Linked DNA regions of Macaca mulatta. The protein of the gene in region 2 binds, or shares a complex with, the protein of the main gene of each other region. Links are inferred from orthologs where the notes say so. Each region holds a gene or a part of one and is shown on either strand. Other genes may lie near its edges.

Region 1 (2,806 bases), on a different chromosome or scaffold from region 2:
GGGGGGAATTGTACTAAAAATAAATTATTTTCAAATGCAAACTCAGGGAGTAGACTCAAGAGGTATCATGGACTCACTGACCATTAGGGTGGCAGGGAAGGGAGGACTCAAGGACCGTTGACAGGGCGTCTGGCTGGGTCATTATACTCAGGACAGCTGTAGATAAGCCCAATGAGCAGTCAGATGTCCACATCTGGAGCCCACGGCTATGCCGCAGAGCTGCTGTAGCCCAAAGCAGGTGTGATTAGGGAGAGAAAAGGTCTGAAGGTGAAGATGGGAGGAGAACTGAAGGCTACCAAGAGTGGGAGCCCTGCTGTTGAGCTTTGAGCCTAAGCGGCCCAGGCTTATGCCACAAAACACATTCAGCGTGGCCAAGCAGACCTCCAAGGCAGGGTCTCTCCCTAAGCCCAGGGCCTCCTTCCCGGGGCCACAGCTGCTGAAGGCCATGAGACTGGGGAGTCCCACCTCCAAAGCTCTTCCCTTCTATTCGGACTGGCAGGATGCTCTGGGTCAAAAGGCTGAGGCTCACCTCCCCACCAGAGGACCTGGAGAAACACACCCTCTAAATGTGCACACGCACACACACGAAGTTCCCCAGTGCCACGGAGCGAATTTATTGTGAAAGCTCGTGGGGTGAGGAAGGGATGGGGCAGGCTCTAGGAGGCCGAGTCGGAGGCCTCTGAGCTGTCCTTGACATCTGTGCTCTCTGTGGTCTCGCTGACCTCGCTGAGGTCCTTGCTGTCCCCACCACTATCCTCGGCAGCCAGGCCCTTCTCCTCGCGACAGGCCTCTCCTGAGCTCGGAGGTGAATTGCCTTTGCTCTCCACCTTGTTCTCGATGGCACCCAGCACCACATGCCTGCCCTTCTCCTTCAGCTCCAGGTGCCGCCTCAGCTGCCACCAGGAACCCAGGGAGAAGCAGGAGGTAAAGAGATGGGGCCTAAGTTTCCAGACAAAGGGAGCCTGGCCCTGTCGCTGGCTGAGGAGAGGGGCATAGTGAGGCAGCAGGGCTAGGCAGGACACGTGGGACTGAGTGGGGACACCTGGCTGGAGCCCCAGTCCACTGCTACCTGGGCTCACTGACTACCATGGAGGCCCCCACGACACAGCGTTGCCCCTTGACCAGCCCTGCCACCCAAGGAGCCTGGGGCAGAACCCTGACTCAGAACTACCTCTGAGCAGGCAGGCCACCCACTGGTCCCCAGGCCTCCCCACTTCCCTTCTAAAAGCCTCCTCCCTCTGCCTCTCCCATCACCCTCCAGGCTGCTAGGCAGACGGCCTCCTCTAAAGCCCAACCTAGGAAACTGAGGTTGTGACTCCTGGCAACATAGCCACAAGGGCTGGCATTCAAAGTTGGTCGCACCTCCAGCCACTGTCTCGGGGCTCCCCAATGCCACCCCCGCTTGCCTGGCTTGGCTTCATGCAGGCTCTTACCTCGTCGGCCATCTGAGTGAGGTCTCGCTTCATGGCATAGGCGTCCTCCCCATCTGCATAGTATTTGGGCTCCACTTCACTGATCCTGGGGGCAGAGGGTAGAGAGCAAGGAGGAAGACCCATACCTGGGGGACACCCTCCTCCACTCCTAGTATCATGGCTACTGGAGCAAGATGCCGTGTTTTCTCCCTGAAGGGCTCCTTCCTGAGACAGCAAGTCCAGTGTGACCTGCCCTCTGTTCTCTCCAGCAAAGGCTCCAGGAAACAGCGGCCCGCCCCACCCCTGTCCTGCCCCCGTTCTGTGTCCTTAGCCTGGCTACTAAGGATTCATTTCTGTGGTTTCTTGTGAGCTGAATTCCTGAATTCAGCCTTCCCCTTCCCTCCCTGCCCTGCGTCCTGTCCCTTACTGAGCTGCCTCACAACAGCCATCAGAACCCAGGAAAGACAGTGAGCTCTGTTTAGGGGAGTCATCCCTAGGCAGCACGGGCCCTGCCTGAGCAGCTCAGGGGCCATGCCTGCACTGGGGAGGCATGTGTGCAGACTCGGGTGGCCATGTCCCTGGAAGGGGAGCTGGACTCAATGGCCTAGGCTGGCCCTGCCAGGCCTAAGACATGAGGATTGTTGACTTAGCTATAAAGCAGTTCCCACCAGACATCCTCATCTGGGTCACAGATCCCTCTTGCCAGCATCCAGCCCAGAGGCCACTGCCCTTCCCAACAGTCCCTCCTCTTCACCCCTGCCAAACAGGGGCTGACTGCAGTTAGTGTCCCTCCACGGGCAGCCCACCCCAGCTTCACTTGCAAGCACTTTTTTCCACTGTCTACTGGGCATGCTAACTGCCAGGTCCTCTCTCCTGTGCTAGGCACACGGGGCCTCCCGGTCCTCAGGCAGACCTGCCCCATCCACTAGGTTGCCTGGCCGCCGGTCCTTCCTTCCTGAACGTGCATTCTCCTTGATTCTGCTCTCTCTTGGATTCTTCCAGGTGCTTGGCCATGCTATGATCTGCTCACGCCAGGGACCCACACCTCTTTATTCCCAAACATTACTAAACAGCCCGTGTGCCCTTCACCAGCCTCTGCCAGCATGGGCCAGAGCTCCTCCATCACAACACACACGGAGCACGTTTCAGCAGGCAGGTGCTGTCTCCATGCCGGCTTTTCAACCATCAGCCACCGAGTGAATGTGGAGGCATCCTGGCAGCACTGGGGTCCACAGCGTCCTCCCCACATCCGGCCCACCCCTAGCCTGGAAGGCAACTCAGCCGGTCTCAGGTGCCCTGATGGGCCAGACCTGGGGCCAACCCCAGCCCACGAGAAAACTCGAGATCTACTTACTGAAAGTTGAGGGTGTTGGAATAGAGGTGCAGGGCGGCCC
Region 2 (3,805 bases):
GGTACACAGCCCCAGAGCCACTGAGCACTGGACAGTCAGAGAGGCCAAACAGGTGGGCACACAACCCCGAGGGCATCTGGATCTGGGAGTGTGTGTGTGAGAAATGGCAGGACAAGTCATAATGCATGGAAAGGTACCTCCTTATATGGGTATGACCACTCATTTGTCTCCTGCCCCCAACCAAAATCTCTTCTATCTTAGGGTTTTTCCTTTTATCTCTTTCCACTTGACAACCCGACCCCCTCTCACTTACCCTGTGTGTTTTGCCCCACACCCTTTCCACTACTGTCCTTGACAGCAGGAGGCAGCAGATTGCTGAGGCCCCCACATGGAGGAGGATGTAGAACAGGCGGCTGCAAGTGGATGCGGTGAGAGAGGGCCACCTAGAGTGGCAGCAGCTGGCACAAGGAGCAGGCCCACAGCAGCACACCTGGGGGTAGAGCAGATGCAAGGCAGCGAGGTGGATACTTGCTGAGGAAAGGCATATGTTAAATGTATGTGTGAGGTTAACCCAGGAGGCTGAATTCCAAAATTTCCTTCCCCTTTCTTCCTTTTACTCAGGTTCTGTTTCAAGCTGATTCCAGCCATTTGGGATTGCCTTCCACTGACAACTTAGTAGGGGTTTCATTATAAGCAGGCTTGAGATATCTGACCTTTCTCTAGACCTAAACCCCTGGGGCTGGGACCATGGCGGGAGACATTTACAGATACCCGGGGGCAAAGTACCAGAATGACATTAGAGAAAAGAAGCCTGACGTTTTTACTGGCTTCTGCATGTTTTCCTCCCCAGCTTCTGCCACTCTACCTTTCGCACCCTCTCACCTGACAGAAGGGGCTTTTCACTAGGACACTGCTGCCTCCGCTGCGCTGCTGTGCCAGGCCCAGGGAGGTGCTGGGGCTGAGGCCGGCCTTGGCACCCACCATCCTTGTCCCAGGGATTAGGCTTAGGTCCACCAGATGGAAGGCAGATGAGAGTAGCAGCTGCTTCTGTCCTCAGCCCATTGGACTGCCACTGTGTTGGGGCTGAGCACCCGGTCCCGGGCAGAATGCGGACGTCTGGAAGAGAACACTGACCTCTAGGATGTGGTAAATGCAAATACCCTGTGAAGGAGCTTTGTCCTCAGGGCCTCAACACTGCGGCCACTCAGGCTGTTCTCTCCAGATTATGGGGCAGTTTGTCTATCTGGCCCCCTGTGGATTAGCATTCTTAATTGGTTTAGGATTAGACGTCATCCATTCAGGTTGAACGGAGTTCCCTGAGGTGGCTGCGTGTCTATGTGTTGAGGGAACTATTCCTAGTTTATGAGGTGGTAAGGATGTCGGTGGGGTGGGCTGGAGCGGTGACGGGTTAGGTCTGAGAGAAAGCCCTTGCACAAAAGACTGTGCAAACCCGAAAGGAAGTCTGAGACGAACCACCTTCCTCGCTGAAGCTTCTAGAACTGGAGCAGAAAGAAGGTGTGGCCCAGGGCCAGCTCCGCCTCCTCCCCGGGCGGAAGCTGTGTGTTAGTTGCCGGAAGTCGCCGTGAGGTGGGGCTTATGCGGCGGCGTGGTGAGATAGATATGGCGACTGAGGGGGATGTGGAGCTGGAGTTAGAGACTGAGACCAGTGGACCAGAGCGGCCTCCCGAGAAGCCACGGAAGCATGACAGCGGTGCTGCGGACTTGGAGCGGGTCACCGACTATGCGGAGGAGAAGGAGATCCAGAGTTCCAATCTGGAGACGGTAAGGTTGGCCAAGAGCATGTTGGGGCGGGCTGAGAGCAGAGGGGGTCTCTGAGGCTGTAGCTGGAAGCCCGCGCTCCAAGACGGGGTTCTGATCCCGATGGCAGGAGGAGGCAGTAGGGTAGAGCCGAGGGAAACAAGGGTCACCGGAGCCCGCCGCTTGCCTAAAGGAGCTTGATAGGGGGCTTAAGGGGACCTCAGATGCATAGAATGGAATTAAACATGGTCCTTGCTACCTGGTAACACTTGTCATCGTGAATCCATACATGAACCGCTTGTTTTATTGGCCTTGTAGATTATTGGGAATTGTGGGTAGCGGTGCACTAACTAGACCTGCCTTTGCCATAGGCCATGTCTGTGATTGGAGACAGAAGGTCCCGGGAGCAGAAAGCCAAACAGGAGCGGTAAGTCTTCAGGGGCAGCCAACTTTAACAGTTCTTCCCTCCCCGCTCCCCAGACAAAAATAGAAACCATTATTAAGCCTTTATACCGCTCTTCAACTTTATCACCAATTCCTGCAGATCTAGGCCCCACAACTTTGTTAGCAGAAGGCCTCCTGGCAACTCCTGCTGCGAAGACTCCAGGGGAAAGGAGTATTAGTGGGAGTTTTTATTTTTTTCTGAGACGGAGTTTCGCTCTTGTTGCCCAGGCTGGAGTGCAACGGCACGATCTCAGCTCACCGCAACCTCCGCCTCCCAGGTTCAAGCGATTGTCCTACCTCAGCGTCCCTAGTAGCTGGGATTACAGGCATGTGCCACCACGCCCGGCTAATTTTGTATTTTTAGTAGAGACGGGATTTCTCTGTGTTGGTCAGGCAGGTCTCAAACTCCCGACCTCAGGTAATCCGCCCGCCTCCGCCTCTCACAGTGCTGGGATTATAGGCGTGAGCCCTCGCGCCCGGCCCTGAAGTTTTTACTTTCAATCAAGGGTTTATCAAGATGATTTTACAGGGCACATCTGGGAATGACCCTTCCTGGGAGTTTATGGTGTTGGTTGAGAATGAGGCCTAATATATTTAAACATTTGCAGGGAGAAAGAACTGGCAAAAGTCACTATCAAGAAGGAAGATCTGGAGCTGATAGTGAGTAGTAGTGCCTAACTACTGTATGGGGAGAGGAGGCTATTCTGCTTAATTTGGGTTGTTTCCTGAAACAAGCGGAGTCAGAATATTTGGTGGCACATTAATGCCTGGGAATCTATGTAACATGGTTTTTTTCTGCAGATGACCGAGATGGAGATATCTCGAGCAGCAGCAGAACGCAGCTTACGGGAACACATGGGCAACGTGGTAGAGGCGCTTATTGCCCTAACCAACTGACGCGTGCTTCCACAAATATACCTACTGGATTAATTTATGGCAATAAAATTTTTTTTTGTCTTTCTCAGTTTTATCATCTTGGGTCAAGTGGAGTATATACTATATATATTCTATTTTGTGGGGAATTTATATGTTGGAGAATAACTGAATTTAAGTGACCCATTAAAATCTAGCACACCTGTATGAAAAATTAGTGTAGAATAATACCTCATGTGCAGATGCAGATGCTAGGTGGCAGGACAGTCTCATTCATCTGACTAGCTCTCAACAGTAAATAAGGTACATCTGGCGTCTCAGCAGAGTTACTGTACTCAAATGGCACGTGTCTCCAGGACAGCTTATGAATATCTAAAATGTCAGCTACCTGCCTAGGAGCCACTATATGTATAGATAGCTGTAAGTTATGAACCCAGTTCATAGGCCACCTTGAGTTAGAATTTTGGTACCTACAACATGCTTGATTTCGAGTGATAAAACAAAAAGAATTTGGCTGGGCGCCATGGCTGACGTCTCTGATCCCGGCACTTTGGGAGGCCGAGGCAGGCAGATCACGAGCTCAGGAGTTCGACCAGCCTGGCCAACACGTGAAACCCCATCTCTACTAAAAAGAGAAAAATTAGCCAGGCATGGTGGCGGGCACCTGTAATCCCAGCTACTCGGGAGGCTAAGGCAGGAGAATCGCTTGAAACTGGAAAGCCAGAGGTTCCAGTGAGCTGAGATTACACCACTGTACTCCAGCCTGGGTGAAAGAGTGAAACTCCATCTC

The links. The genes of interacting proteins can lie anywhere in the genome.
Region 1: the proteins of HYPK (region 2) and NAA10 are in contact, whole or in part, in a crystal structure (PDB 6C95), measured with the Homo sapiens proteins. The link is inferred for Macaca mulatta from reciprocal best matches to the Homo sapiens genes HYPK and NAA10. Residues at the interface, in NP_057484.4 of Homo sapiens: Lys27, His28, Ser30, Gly31, Asp34, Leu35, Arg37, Val38; in NP_003482.1 of Homo sapiens: Glu24, Tyr26, Lys29, Tyr30, Tyr33, Lys59, Glu134, Lys136, Tyr137.

Annotation. Positions count from the first base shown.
Region 1 is NC_133426.1:160,175,551-160,178,356, forward strand, and holds the end of NAA10 (N-alpha-acetyltransferase 10), read right to left. Parts: coding exon 2,767-2,806; intron 1,519-2,766; coding exon 1,434-1,518; intron 894-1,433; coding exon 657-893; 3' UTR 591-656; downstream 1-590. UniProt on the Homo sapiens protein: Catalytic subunit of N-terminal acetyltransferase complexes which display alpha (N-terminal) acetyltransferase activity. Acetylates amino termini that are devoid of initiator methionine.
Region 2 is NC_133412.1:21,181,519-21,185,323, forward strand, and holds HYPK (huntingtin-interacting protein K), read left to right. Parts: upstream 1-1,357; 5' UTR 1,358-1,536; coding exon 1,537-1,722; intron 1,723-2,069; coding exon 2,070-2,125; intron 2,126-2,750; coding exon 2,751-2,802; coding exon of another isoform or gene 2,803-2,810; intron 2,811-2,943; coding exon 2,944-3,039; 3' UTR 3,040-3,244; downstream 3,245-3,805. Other genes in the region: SERINC4 (serine incorporator 4), read right to left, coding at 1-82, 254-430, 823-924. UniProt on the Homo sapiens protein: Component of several N-terminal acetyltransferase complexes. Inhibits the N-terminal acetylation activity of the N-terminal acetyltransferase NAA10-NAA15 complex (also called the NatA complex).